4 linked regions of the Ovis aries genome follow. The protein of the gene in region 3 interacts with the protein of the main gene of each other region in a pairwise test. Links are inferred from orthologs where the notes say so. Each region holds a gene or a part of one and is shown on either strand. Other genes may lie near its edges. The genes, in order: GTF2B, NFYB, DRAP1 and POLE3.

Region 1 (4,306 bases), on a different chromosome or scaffold from region 3:
AGCAGCTGACTCCAGGCTGGGGGAGGGGTGTTTAGCCTTCGGGCATGCGGGCTTTGCCCACATCTACTTGATCATCGGAAAAGCAAGAGTTCCAGAAAAACATGTTTCTGCTTTATTGACTATGCCAAAGCCTTTGACTGTGTGGATCACAAACTGTGGAAAATTCTGAAAGAGATGGGAATACCAGACCACCTGACCTGCCTCTTGAGAAACCTGTATGCAGGTCAAGAAGTAACAGTTAGAACTGGACATGGAACAATGGACTGGTTCCAAACAGGAAAAGGAGTCCGTCAAGGCTGTACATCATCACCCTGCTTATTTAACTTCTATACAGAGTACATCATGAGAAACGCTGCGCTGGGGGAAGCACAAGCTGGAATCAAGATTGCTGGGAGAATTATCAATAACCTCAGTTATGCACATGACACCACCCTTATGGCAGAAAGTGAGGAAGAACTAAAAAGCCTGTTGATGAAAGTGAAAGGGGAGAGTGAAAAAGTTAGCTTAAAACTCAACATTCAGAAAACTAAGATCATGGCATCTGGTCCCATCATTTCATGGCAAATAGATGGGTAACAGTGGACACAATGGCTGACTTTATTTTTCTGGGCTCCAAAATCACTGCAGATGGTGATTGCAGCCAAGAAATTAAAAGACACTTGCTCCTTGGAAGGAAAGTTATGACCAACCTAGACAACATATTAAAAAGCAGAGACATTACTTTGTCAACAAAGGTCCGTCTAGTCAAGGCTATGGTTTTTCCTGTGGTCATGTATGGATGTGAGAGTTGGACTATAAAGAAGGCTGAGCACCAAAGAATTGATGCCTTTGAACTGCGTTATTGGAGAAGACTCTTGAGAGTCCCTTGGACTGCAAGGAGATCCAACCAGTCCATCCTAAAGGAAATCAGTCTTGGGTGTTCATTGCTGGGACTGATGTTGAAGCTGCCACTCCAATACTTTGGCCACCTGATGCGAGGAGCTGACTCATTTGAAAAGACCCTGATGCTGGGAAAGATTAAGGGCAGGAGGAGAAAGGGATGACAGAGGATGAGATGGTTGGATGGCATCACCGACTCGATGGATATGGGTTTGGGTGGACTCCGGGAATTGGTGATGGACAGGAAGGCCTGGAGTGCTGCGATTCATGGGGTCACAAAGAGTCGGACACGACTGAGCGACTGAACTGAAGTGAACGGATGCGGGCTTTGCCCCCTCCACGGAGCCCAGTATTTTGTGTTGTAACTCAGTCAAGTTGAGGGTATCTCTGGTGCAGCACGTTTGCAGAGTGCCCTTGGGAATTTTCCCGGGTGATTTCCTATATTTGCCCAGCCACATAGAAAATGATCGAAAGTGAATAGGGAAGTAAGAAAACGCAAAGCACGGGGCGTACCCGAGCTCACTGTTCTTGGCCCTTCTCCGGACCCGTAGCCACGCCCTATTACGACTGCGTGGGCGATTCGCCTATAAAAGCCCGTCTCGCTGCGTTTCGTCGCCACTGTCTCTTCCTGTTTGCGGTTGCGTCTGTCGTTGTTTGTAGCTGGAGCCGCAGTGGCCGGGAAGATGGCGTCTACCAGCCGGTTAGTACGTCATGTAGAGCCCAGCCAGCTGAAGGGCGGGCGGCGAGTGCCGGGGCTAGCAGGGCGGCCGCTCCCGCTGCTTCGTCGAGCAGAACGCCTCGGAAGTGCGGGGAGAGGCAGCCGGACCGGCTGGCCGCCCGGGACAAAGGCACTTCCAGACGCAGGGCTGTCAGGGGTGTCGCAGGGGATAACGAGCCGCCGGCGTTTCTCCTCCAGCGTCCTTGGTCGTTTTCTCACTCAGGCACTATCATGTGGGGGGCTCCGGTGTCCCCAGCCCCTGGCCTCGGGTCTTTTGCGTATGATCCAACTGTCCTTTTTTCCTAAATTTTCTACGCTTGTTTTTTTTAATCTGTTGGTCTGCCAGCGGAGGGTCCGTGAATCCTCTTCTAGAGAGCGGGAAAGGGTTAGTTCTAGGCCTTTATCCATCTGACAAAAAGTTAGGGACGTCAGCGTTGGTAAACCTGATGGAAACTGATAACCATCCCCGAGGCCTTTTGAAGTGGAAGCTAAGGCATTTCTGAAGAGTTGATAAGTCTCCTTAAGAGATTTCTTTAGAGATGTCATCTGCATACTCCTGAAGAAAATTTTGCCTGCAGAAAATTAACATACTGGGAAGTCACTCAGAAGGCAACGCACTCTAGTGTTCTTGCCTGGAGAAGCCCAGGGACGGGGGAGCCTGGTGGGCTGCCATCTATGGGGTCGCACAGTGTCGGACACGATTGAAGCGACTTAACAGCAGCCGCAGCAGAGAAGTCACTAATATATTTTTAAAATGTGATGTACTGATTGATACCTACTGCAAATGCATACAGTGGCATTAGAGACAGCCTTTAATCCTGTGACGTGAAAAATGCTTGCAGACCCTAATTATGTCTCTCATGACCCTGAGGTAGATATTAGGATTTTTGCCTAAGTGTAAACTGAGTCATGCCCATGTTGGCTTTTCGAAGGTTAGTATTAGAACAGAGTATAGAATCTCAGATATCTGTTTCCTGTTGTCACACTTGGTAACTCATAATGTACTAAACATATCAGATTAAGTTCTGTAGCTTCTGGAAGGCAAGGTAACTCTGGCATAATTTTTCTGAACTTGTTCTCATCTTTGGAATTGAGTTCCTGATGAAAGCCATCATCACAAAATGATAATCTTTGAGTAGTACAGGCCCTTTCTGGTGAGTACCAAGGCTTACTACTTTGTGTTACTGTATTTTAAAAAGATGGGGCAGGAGGCAGCCTTAGCTAAACTACTTGGAAACAGCTCTTATGGCCAGTGATACTTGTTTACTGATTCTAATTCTGTGATTAAATGTTCAATCATTCTACTTGGGTGTGGCTCTGTCAGGTTAGGGTTCCTTGTAGGTAAATGGAGAACTAGCTTCCCAAGAACACCTATATATAACATTCTCCTAGGGCAGATCTGCTATGAATATGGTTATATTGGGGCTTTATTATAACATATTGTAGTAGTTACATATAGGAAATTCACTTGATAGATTCTTTACGGAAACATTTCCTTTGTGTGCTTTATTCTCTTCATTAAAAGAAAAAATGTGAGATATTTCTTTGAAATAAATTTTCCCTAGGTTTATTGCAGTTGTCCATCTCTGAGTTTTTTTTACCCGTGAGAACAAAGGTGGATGTTAGTATTTCTGTGATAGCTTTTTTCCCCCTGAGGAAGAGGGACAGTTACTGGACTATGAAACTGCTTGGTGTTTTCACAGAGAAGAACACAAATGTTGTGAGTTCAGATCTAAACTCTACCACTCATTAGTTCTGTGACTTCAGGAAAATCATTCTCTGAGCATAATCTTTAAAATAGAGGTAATGCTTAATTTGTGGAGAAGGCAATGGCACCCTGCTCCAGTACTCTTGCCTGGAAAATCCCATGGAAGGAGCAGCCTGGAAGGCTGCAGTACATGGGGTTGCTGAGGGTCGGACACGACTAACTTCACTTTCGATTTTCACTTTCATGCATTGGAGAAGGAAATGGCAACCCACTCCATTGTTCTTGCCTGGGGAATCCCAGGGATGGGGGAGCCTCCTGGGCTGCCGTCTGTGGGGTCGCACAGAGTTGGACACGACTGAAACAGCTTAGCAGCAGTAGCAGCAATGCTTAATTTGAAGGGTTGCTAATGAAGATTAATAATAGATGTACAGTACTAGACACAGTAAAGGATAGCTATAAAATGAAGTTAGGAATTATGTGGCTTCTTAGGCAGCCTAAGTTGTTTTAATGTCAGTGGTGGTGGTATACTCCATTCCTTCCCTCTTGTTTCTTTCCCTGACTTCCCCCACTACCCTACTCTTGTGGTTCCTCTTTTGTATTACCCTTGTGGGTTATTTAATTAAAAGTTAACTGCTTGAGCACAATTTTATTTTATTTTGAATAGGTAACACATGCAAATCATAAAAAGCAAGAAGAAAAGTGAAAAGCAGTTTCTTTTTTCCCTCGCTCCTAGCCATCTAATTCTTCTCCAAAGCAGTCATTGTAACCAGTTTCTTGGTGTTTTCCTAATGATTCTGTGGTTTAACAAACATATTCATATAATCCTAACCTCTCTTCCTTCCAAAAAGTAGTCTAATATAAAAAATGAATGCCATCTTGCTTTTTACCTTTTTTTGTGAAGTTTTTAGCACACAGATTTTAAGTGTGCAGTTCAGTTACAAAGTGAGCATGTACACTTAGCTGTCACCCAAGTCTCCCGAATAAATACCACTAGCAGCAGC
Region 2 (3,567 bases), on a different chromosome or scaffold from region 3:
ATTAAAATTAATTTCATTTTTTTTTTTAGCATAGCTGCTAGAAAATCTGAAGTCCTGTATACAGCTCACATTATATTATCTTGCTTAACTGCATTTATGCAGTAACTCTTGTTACTTTTCTCCAGGATGTAAAATAGGTGTGGAGGTGAAAGACAGTGTGTTTCAGCAAGGATTTGGTCATTCCTGTTAGACGTGACTTTGGAATTGCATGGTTTAGTCTATTACAGTTTCACTTTGAAACCCTAGATCGCTGAGTGAATAAGATGACAGGTGTGTGCTTCTTTTGGTAGGCTTTTTCATAAACTCAAAACCTATTCCTGACACTCTGTGTCTTTATTAATAAAAATGTCACTAGATGTCATTATTTCACTCCCTTGTAAGCCTTACACAAACTTATTTGTTTTTAAAAACTTTCTGGTGTCCTCACTGGTGGAAACGCCAAGGCAGAGAAGCAGGACTTGAGTCTAGCCCACAGGACGCTCCAGACATAACAGGATTGATTTTCTTGGGCACTTGGTTAGTAAGAATTTTCATCTTTATTGGGTAATAGAGTCATCTAGTGGTTGCTTTTGTACCTAAATTCTGTTTTTTGTGAATAGCTGTCAAAGCCTCTCTCCTTGTATTTGAGTTTTCAGTCTCACTCTGGGGGTTCGAATTTTGACAACATACATTATTCAGTGTTATTAGCAGGTTAACAGTCATTAACTGAAATTTATATTCTTCTGAATAACTTTCTATTTTTGCAGGTTGTTAGGAAAGTGGTGATTGTATTCCCTGCAGATTTACCTTCGATTTTTCTCCTCAGATTGCAAAAGATGCCAAAGAATGTGTTCAAGAATGTGTGAGCGAGTTCATCAGCTTCATAACATCTGAAGCGAGTGAAAGATGCCACCAAGAGAAGCGGAAGACAATCAACGGAGAAGACATTCTTTTTGCCATGTCTACCTTAGGCTTCGACAGTTACGTAGAACCTCTGAAACTATACCTTCAAAAGTTCAGAGAGGTAAGTAAAGTGTCTCCTGTTATGCTTTTAAGAAAATTAAGGTACACTATTCCCTTTAACTTTTTAAACATGTGAATCATTTCTCAGAAGTATGTAATCAGTTATATTATTGAACTTAAATAGCAAGTCCTTTCTTCTTCCCTTTATTACTAATGGCAGCATAATTATGTAATGACTAAAAGAGCATGGACTCTGGATTTACACCACCTGGATGCTGAACTCCATGACCCTGGGCAGACTATTTAAGTACTTTAGGCCTTGGTTTCCTGGTCTGTAAAGTGAGGCTAATAATAGGACTTAAGACAAAGTAAAACAATCCATGTACAACCCTTGGCCTGGCACATACTGAATGGTCAATAATGTCACTAATAGCACATGCTGTTATTGTTATTAATTTAAAAGAGGTAGTATCTTAGCTTGGGGCATTTAGATAAAAAGATAGGGAACTACAACTATATCATTTTCTTATATTAATTAAATTTTTCTACATCTCATGTTTGGTTTTGCTTTGCCTATGGTATGAATTTGTGAAAATGAATTGAGATCAGCATATTTTTAAATTCTACACTCCAACTTGGGTGTCAGATTCATACTACTCATATTTCCTTAATGTCTTTAGTGTTAGAATCCCATTAACTTTGTGATATCTGTACAAAATGACTGGAGTAGGAAGAGAATATGTTAATTCTCTACAGAACTTTTCCAGATCTTCAGCATCATTAGATTATTAGAACCTGAGAGTAGACAGACACTTAAGCGGTCTTCGATCCAAACTGTATTCTGATTGAGGAATTTTAAACTCCCAGCTGTCTGCCTCTGTGCTGCCCCGTTGGCCAAGAGATGTGTATATAGTTAAATGATACTGGGATCACTTGTAGTAGATTTGCAAGCTGAGTATTTATAATATTTTGCAGACTACTTTATCTGTAATTAGACTTTTCTTTTTGACGTAGTGTCGAATTAGAATAACTTTTTACTCATAAGTATTTTAGATTTTCTAGGTCATTACTAACACTGTCTTGTGATGACTACTACATATATAGCAGTTAGCATTTTGAAGGACCTCTCCGTATGTTATTAACCAGAAGTGTTAATAAACAGTTTTATAAGAATAGAAGCTTCTAATTCTAGGAACTAAGCAAGCATTTTCATTTAGGAAGTAGGTTTTTGTTGCTGCTGTTGATGTTTTGAGTACAAGTGATTACTGTTTCATTTCCTTCCCCAGGCTATGAAAGGAGAAAAAGGAATTGGTGGAGCAGTCACAGCTACAGATGGACTAAGCGAAGAGCTTACAGAGGAGGCATTTAGTAAGTAGTGTTATGATACATTTATGCAAGTAAATTGTTGGCAGTGATTAACAGGATATGTCTTTAGTGGAACTTTTGGAATATTAGCACTGTGTGTTTTGACATAGTACTATTTTGAATAGTTCTTACTAGTTCATGCCCTTATATTTGAAGTTCGTGAGGGATAAGTGTATAAATTTTAATTCTGCAGAGATTATAATCTTTTACCAATAGTTCTGATTTCCATAGTCCCTAATTTTTTATTTAAGATTCATGAGATAGGAATATTGAGAATTGTTTATAATATTAAATCTTGTGATTTAAATAAATTTGAACTGAAGGTTTCTTAAAAATTGAGACATTAGGCATTGGTGAAATAAAAGGTCTATGGTGACTATATTTCTCATGTAAAATTTATATGTATATATTTTTATATTTCTCATATTTAAAATACATACTGCTTAGTTATGTAAGTGTTGTTCTCAGCCAAGCCTAAGCCTAGAGTTTAGGTGTATTTATGAATCAGAAACTTAATCCATCTTTTATGCACATGGGCAGTTAGTACACTTCATAAAATTGAAAAAATGCTATAGAAAAAAATGTGCTTTTGGGGAAACTTTTTTTAAATGGAAAATCACCCAGTCTTAAGATTCAGGTCAAGAAAGCAGATGCACTTCTTTACCTACTTTGGCATTTGTTTGTTTGTCTTTTAGCTAACCAGTTACCAGCTGGCTTAATAACTGCAGATGGTCAGCAACAAAATGTTATGGTTTACACAACATCATATCAACAGGTACCATACTTTTTTTGTATTTTAAATTACTTAAATTATATTCATTGATTTTTTTAAAAAAAAATCACAGGTAGTTAGCATCAACATAATTATTAAGAACTGGATAAAGAGGCTTGTTAAAAACTGTTTTCTCAAAATATATAACTGTGTATAGTATTCTCTTATGGTTACAGATATGTACACAGATGTTCATTTAGTCTGTCCTTCATATCCATGGGTTCCACACCATGGATTCAACCAGCTGTGGATCATATGCCGTCTCCAATCCGTCGTTGGTTGAATCCGCAGATGGAATTTACAGATGCAGAACCCGTGGATACTGAAAGCTGACTAAAGGACTTGAGCATCTGTGCATTTTGGCATCTACAGGGCGTTCTGGAACCAGTCTGCCGTGGATATTGAGGGAATGAGTGTATTCACATAGATTTCTATAAAGATATACAAGAGATTGTTGAAGTAGCTCCTTAGGTAGAGAGAATGGAGAT
Region 3 (3,914 bases):
AGCCTGGTAGGCTACAGTCCACGGGTCACTAAGAGTCGGACACGACTGAGCGACTTCACTTTCACTTTTCACTTTCATGCACTGGAGAAGGAAATGGCAACCCACTCCAGTGTTCTTGCCTGGAGAATCCCAGGGACGGGGGAGCCTGTTGGGCTGACGTCTATGGGGTCGCACAGAGTCGGACACGACTGGAGCGACTTAGCAGCAGCAGCAGCAGCAGCAGCAGCAGCAGCAGGGGGTGCCAGGCACTGAACTGAACGGTGTGGGCCTGGGCCTCGGCTGCCGCGTCTCCACAATGGATAACAACTTGTTACTGCCTCAAGCAGTTGTGCAGAATTAACCGCCTGAGGTGGAACAAAAGCTATATAAATGTAGTTAGTGTTATTACTGCTCTCCTTGACCTACAAACGAGGAAACCGAAGCTCAGAGAGAAGGGGCTCACTGCAGGTCACACCTTCAGTGAGTGATAGGGCCGAAACGGCAATTCAAATGCGGGAACCGCCGGCCCAGCTACGCCTCCTGGCCCTGCCAGAGCCTGGCCGCTCTCCCGGGCGCTGGGATTTAATGGAGGGAGGCAAAGCACACGTCCTCGCCGCACCGAGGCAGGGCCCATGGGGCCAGGCCTCCGGGCGAGCGTTATCCAACCTACTTAAAGACGAGGGCACTGAGGCGAGAAACGGGCAGTGTCCGATCCGAGACCAACGGGGCGGTGCCTGGACTCGAACCCCGGCTGGATAGAGGCTGCAGGAGAGCCTGCCTCCCGCCCCGCCGCGCCCGCCGCCATTAGTGCCCACGGCCCGAGCTGCGCCCCCGTCCTGCCCCCTCCCGCCAACCCCAGCGTCACCTCCGGCCTTCGCTGCGCTCGGCGCCGGGCCAGCCCCGGGCCCGGCTCCGTTCCTGCCGGGGATCTGCGCCGCTGCCACCGCCGCGCCCCGCCCCCGCCACGGCTGCCGCCGCCGCCGCCATCTTAGTACCCCGGCGCCTCAACAAGAACTTTATAGACAAACGCAGCACAGGGCGGGGCCGGGAAGGGGCGGGGCCATGGGGGCGGGGCCATCAGGGAAGGCGAGGAGGGGCGGGCCTTGGGGGGCGGAGCTAACGTTCGCTCTTCAGGTCTTGGGGGCGGGCGGGAGTGGCGGTTCCGCCCCGGACGGACGCGCAAAGCCCGGGAGGCTCTAAGGGGGAGGGCGCTCGGGCCCTGCCGGCGGCGTCCTGACCGGCGGCGCTAGGACCCTGTAGGAAGCGTTGGGGGCGGAGCCGGCGGCACCAGGACCCGGGGGAACCGCGGCGGACGGGCTAAGAGCAGGCCCGGGTGCCGGGAGGCTGCGGGCGGCGGCGCTGGGTCCGGCGCGGCGGGAGAGGCCCCGAGATGCCGAGCAAGAAGAAGAAGTACAACGCGCGGTTCCCGCCGGTGAGCACGTGAGCGGGCCCCAGAGGAACGGGCCGGGCTCTCGGGAAGCTCCGGCCCAGGCCGGACTAGGGAGGCGGGCGCATCGCCGTGTTCGGGGCCCCGTACGCCCCGCCCCCTTCCGTGCCCTTCCAGCGTGGGTGCCCCCCGCCCCCTTTCTCCCGGGATGCTCCCTCTCTCTGCCCGGCTTAAGCACCCTTTCTGGGACGGAGGCTACGGGGTCCGAGCTGTCTGCCCCCTCCCCAGGCACGAATCAAGAAGATCATGCAGACGGATGAAGAGATTGGGAAGGTGGCGGCGGCCGTGCCTGTCATCATCTGTATCCTGTCGGGAGCTGTCGGGATGGGGGAGTGGGGGAGCCCGGCAGCCCCGGGGTCGCTTTTTGTGGACTGGGCCACCACCCTGCGTTCTCCTTGACCCTCCTCAGCTCGGGCGCTCGAGCTTTTCTTGGAGTCTCTGTTGAAGAAAGCATGCCAAGTTACCCAGTCCCGAAACGCCAAGACCATGACTACATCCCACCTGTGAGTGGCTCCGATCCTAGAGGGCCCAGTTGGGGGTCTTCCTCCAGTTCACACGCCTGGGGGAGGCTGTGCCCTGATAAGGAATTGGTAGGCTGCTGTGAGATCTGTGGATTTGAGGAGGAGGATTAGGATGTTCTGGCCAAGGGGGAGGGTTGGGGTGGAAATTTTCCAGGTTCCATTCCCCTGACATCCACAGAGTCCGTACTGTCCCTTGTTGAGGGCCCAGATGTCTGGGCCTCATCCGAGTGCCAACCCCTTCCCACTTCTTCCAGGAAACAGTGCATTGAGCTGGAGCAGCAGTTTGACTTCTTGAAGGACCTGGTGGCATCTGTGCCTGACATGCAGGGGGATGGAGAAGACAACCACATGGATGGGGACAAGGGTCCCCGCAGGTAGGGTGCCAGGGACCAGTGTCCAGGTGGGGAAGGCCAAGGCCCCTGGACTTGGGGATGGCTGGGGAGTGGTGAAGGAGTGGGGAGACCTGTGGGCAGATGTACTGTACCTTCCCGAAGGGGCCGGAAGCCAGGCAGCAGTGGCCGGAAGAACGGTGGGATGGGAAGCAAAGGCAAGGACAAGAAGCTGTCAGGGACGGACTCAGAGCAGGAGGTGAGTGAGGCCCTAGGCTTCTGGCCCATAGGGTGGACAGGGCAGCCCTATACCAGGCCAGGATGAGCTGGCTGGGGGCCTGGTCCCTCACCTGTGACCTTTGTATTGGTTTCTTTGTAAATTGGGGTTAGTGAGGTCAGCCTCCTGTCCCTGCTTTCCAGTGATGGGGCCCTGCCCTTCTAGTCTCTAAGTCCTGCCTTGTTCTCAGGATGAGTCTGAGGATACAGACAGTGACGGAGAAGAGGAGACACCACAGGTCCCACCCCAGGCCAGCCACCCCCCTGCCCACTTTCAGAGGTAAGTGGCACCAAGGGGCCCACTGACCCCAAGACTGACTCTGGCCTCCCTCCTGGCCTCCCTAGCCACTTGGTTTTGTTGGTCATGGCAGACTGGGGGGATGGTAGGGGAAGAACTAAGAAGGACTTCAAGGCTGGGGACTGTACTCTCAGAAGGTCCTCTTCTGCTAGGTGGGGCTGTGTGACCTGCCCTGGGTCCTTCCGTTCTCTGGGCTTGCTCCCTGTTGGTACAGAGGGTAGTGGGCTCCGGGGATGCCCAGGTGGGGCTGAGTGGGTGGGGATGGGCACCAGAGAGTGGCCTGATCTTTCTTTACTGCTTTCTCCCCTGCAGCCCCCCGACACCCTTCATGCCCTTCACCTCGACCCTGCCTCTGCCCCCAGCACCCCCGGGCCCCTCAGCACCTGACGCAGAGGAAGAAGAGGATTATGACTCCTAGCGCCCTCTGCCCCCCAGGCCACACCCCCTTTAGTTTGTTTTAGTTGCTCTGGGGGGAAGAGAGACCATAGAGCTGTTCTTAAATTTATTAATAAAATAATAACAAAAGGGAACACTCACGTCTGTCCCGGTTTTTGTCCAGGGTTTGTGGCCTCCTTCTCTCCTTCCACCTCCTTCCTGATGCTGAGCTGGGACCCAGAGCCCCGGGGGGCTGGGCAGCAGCTGACTGAAGAGGGGGGGCTGGAGGCCACAGTTCTGCCAGCGCAGGGCCAGGGGTGCCAATGGAAGGAAGGCCGGTCAGAGCGGCAGAGGGTCTGAGCCAGCTGGTGCCGGTCATGCTGGGGGACAGCCTGTCTCATGGTGCTGTGTGTCCGTGGGTAGGTTCCTCTTCTCTGAATGACTTCTTCTTGGCTCTCTGATGTAGACCATTCTGTTCACTCTGGGTTGCTGCAAAGGGACAGGTAACAGAAATGAGTCTGGGAAACTAGAGCTTGGGCCACTTGCCTTAAAGGACATGAGGAGGGGCAGTGGGGGCAGAGGTAGGTGGTGTGGTGGGGGCCCCATGAAGGCTGGCTGGTGAGCAGGCAGTGACTCTGAGCAGACCCTGGAGCTATGCGCACGAGGCAGACATGTGTCTTCCAGGAGAA
Region 4 (2,690 bases), on a different chromosome or scaffold from region 3:
TATGAATTATGAATTTCCTTTCTTGAAAAGGACAAATTAGAATCAGGAAAAAGTATTTCTGGTGGTTTCTAGAAATTCCAAAGAAGTAATGGGAACAATAGGTAGCACACAAATCAGTTTTAGTGAAGGAAAATAGTTCTGTTTTAGATACTTCAAAGACAACATACAAATGAACGACTCATATTAAAGATGCTCAATATTACTAAGTATTAGAGAAATGCAAATTCAGAATGGCCATCATTAAAAATGTCTACAAATGACAAATGTTGGAGAGGGTATGGGGAAATGGGAATTCTCCTACATTGCTGGTGTGAATGTAAAATGATATGATAGCTAAAGAGAACAATATAGAGGTTTCTTAAAAAACTCAATATACCTACTAAGTGAACCAGCATATGGATTCTGGATACATACTAGGAAAAAACCATGCTTCAAAAGGTTACATGCACCCTGATGTTCATCACAGTGCTGTTTACAATAGCCAAGACTTGGAAGCAACTTAAATGTCAACAGATGAATGGAGAAACAAAATACAGTATATATATATATATATATATACACACAATGGAATATTACCCAGCAATTAAAAAGAATGAAATATACCAATTACAGCAACAAGGTTTGATCTGAGATTATTATACTAAGTGAAGTAAGTAAGACAAATATCATATGATATGGCTTATATGTAAGAATCTTAAAATAAAAGATACAAATATACTTATTTATAAAACAGGAACACTCAGAGACTTAGAAAACACAATTATGATAACCAGGGGAAAAAGCAGGGAGGGGAGGAATAGACTGTGAGTTTGGGATTGACATGTATATGCTGCTATATTTAAAATAGATAATCAAGAACCTACTGTAGAGCACAGGGATCTCTGGTTAATATTCTGTAATAATCTAAATGGAAAAATAATTTAAAAGACAAAGGATGCTTGTATGGGTATAACTGAATCACTTTGCTGCATACATGCAACTAACACATTATTGCTAATCAATTGTATTTTAATATAAAATAAAAATATAAAAACAACTAAATGAACGAAAGGAAGGTTGTAAGGTATTGATATAAGAATAAACATAAAAATCACTGAAACATCATAAAGATTTTAAAATTAAAAAAAAATTTAAAAATACCAAAAAAAAAAGAAAGTCCAGGAATATACTTAAATAGATGAAAAGTTTTACAAAGATATCAAAGTAATTGAAGCAGAAATAATATATTTTTCAACAAATTATACCACATCAATTAGATATCCGTATATGAAAAAAAGGAACCTCAACCACTACCTAATGCGGTAGATGAAAATTAGCTCTAAATGAGTCATAGATCAAGAGGTCAAAGCTAAACTTATAAAAATTCTGTGAAAAAATTACAATCAAGAACCATAAAGAAACTAAAAAATTGAACATTGTTAATATTTTAAATCTTCTGATCATTAGAGATTATACATTTTAAAAATAAAAAGGGTGGGACGGAAGCCTCGCTGGGTCAGACTGTGGCGACGCGGGAAGTCCAGACGCCGTGGCGGCCTGAAGAGGAGGTCGCAGGCATGGTCCCCGGCCGCGACCATGGCGGAGAGGCCCGAGGACCTAAACCTGCCCAATGCCGTCATCACCAGAATCATCAAGGAGGCGCTCCCGGACGGTGTCAGCATCTCCAAGGAGGCCCGGAGCGCCATCTCCCACGCCACCAGCGTCTTCGTGCTGTACGCCACATCCTGTGCCAACAACTTTGCAATGAAAGGGAAACGCAAGACACTGAATGCCAGCGATGTGCTGTCAGCCATGGAGGAGACGGAGTTTCAGCGGTTCGTTACCCCATTAAAAGAAGCTCTGGAAGCTTATAAGAGGGAGCAGAAAGGCAAGAATGAAGCTTCAGAGCAAAAGAAGAAGGACAAAGACAAAAAAACAGATTCGGAAGAGCAGGACAAGAGCAGGGATGAGGACAATGATGAAGATGAGGAAAGGCTGGAGGAAGAAGAACAGAATAAAGAGGAGGAAGTGGACAACTGAGGAGGATGGGGAGACGCCCCTTGGAAAGAACCACGAGAAAACTTGGTACACGTTTGTGTGAAGCTTGTTCCGGCTGGGCAGAGTAGTCTTAGGCAGAAGAGCCTGATGAGATTGAAATAAAAACTGAATTAATCATCAGGATTATCTTCAAAGCCAGTGCTTACCAGACTCGGAGCATCTGAGTAGCAGAATCCTGGTTTGCTTAATCAGTCTCAAGGTTATAACTTTTGGCAAGAGGGATTCTGAATAGCAAATTTAATTGGTCAGTTTGATCTCTTTTGTTTACATACACATATAGTTAGGCAATTGTTGACCCCCCCCAGTTCCCTCCCTGCCCCCCAGAAAAGTAATAATAACTTCCATGCTGCTAACTGTGTCCCAAATCACAGAGGCAGTTCAGGCTCAGGAAAAATTGAGGTTTGATCACAGTCAACCTATTTGATTATACAATATTTGGCAATACTAGCTTATTTCAAGTGATAAGAATGGCTTAGCTTTAGGAAACTACTAAAAAGGTTGAAGAGAACAATAAAATCTGCTGTTTCTTCATTTGACAGTAACATTAATTTAATTTTGTTTTCTATAGACCCACTTGGCTTAGAGCCCTTCTATATTGCCTGTAGGCGTGTAACCTGCTTGGGAGGCTACCTTCTAGGCACATTGTTTTCAAA

Evidence for each region.
Region 1: the proteins of DRAP1 (region 3) and GTF2B interact in binary tests that used the Homo sapiens proteins (3 or more experiments, as listed by UniProt). The two-hybrid records come from large-scale screens. The link is inferred for Ovis aries from reciprocal best matches to the Homo sapiens genes DRAP1 and GTF2B.
Region 2: the proteins of DRAP1 (region 3) and NFYB interact in binary tests that used the Homo sapiens proteins (3 or more experiments, as listed by UniProt). The two-hybrid records come from large-scale screens. The link is inferred for Ovis aries from reciprocal best matches to the Homo sapiens genes DRAP1 and NFYB.
Region 4: the proteins of DRAP1 (region 3) and POLE3 interact in binary tests that used the Homo sapiens proteins (3 or more experiments, as listed by UniProt). The two-hybrid records come from large-scale screens. The link is inferred for Ovis aries from reciprocal best matches to the Homo sapiens genes DRAP1 and POLE3.

The regions. Positions count from the first base shown.
Region 1 is NC_056054.1:66,124,049-66,128,354, reverse strand, and holds the start of GTF2B (transcription initiation factor IIB), read left to right. Parts: upstream 1-1,493; 5' UTR 1,494-1,562; coding exon 1,563-1,579; intron 1,580-4,306. UniProt on the Homo sapiens protein: General transcription factor that plays a role in transcription initiation by RNA polymerase II (Pol II). Involved in the pre-initiation complex (PIC) formation and Pol II recruitment at promoter DNA.
Region 2 is NC_056056.1:173,375,378-173,378,944, reverse strand, and holds part of NFYB (nuclear transcription factor Y subunit beta), read left to right. Parts: intron 1-805; coding exon 806-1,003; intron 1,004-2,228; coding exon 2,229-2,310; intron 2,311-3,002; coding exon 3,003-3,130; 3' UTR 3,131-3,567. UniProt on the Homo sapiens protein: Component of the sequence-specific heterotrimeric transcription factor (NF-Y) which specifically recognizes a 5'-CCAAT-3' box motif found in the promoters of its target genes.
Region 3 is NC_056074.1:40,463,749-40,467,662, forward strand, and holds DRAP1 (dr1-associated corepressor), read left to right. Parts: upstream 1-1,237; 5' UTR 1,238-1,369; coding exon 1,370-1,411; intron 1,412-1,654; coding exon 1,655-1,727; intron 1,728-1,835; coding exon 1,836-1,929; intron 1,930-2,201; coding exon 2,202-2,321; intron 2,322-2,441; coding exon 2,442-2,535; intron 2,536-2,743; coding exon 2,744-2,832; intron 2,833-3,162; coding exon 3,163-3,268; 3' UTR 3,269-3,380; downstream 3,381-3,914. Other genes in the region: C21H11orf68 (UPF0696 protein C11orf68 homolog), read right to left, coding at 845-966. UniProt on the Homo sapiens protein: The association of the DR1/DRAP1 heterodimer with TBP results in a functional repression of both activated and basal transcription of class II genes.
Region 4 is NC_056057.1:710,597-713,286, forward strand, and holds POLE3 (DNA polymerase epsilon subunit 3), read left to right. Parts: upstream 1-1,475; 5' UTR 1,476-1,575; coding exon 1,576-2,019; 3' UTR 2,020-2,135; downstream 2,136-2,690. UniProt on the Homo sapiens protein: Accessory component of the DNA polymerase epsilon complex. Participates in DNA repair and in chromosomal DNA replication.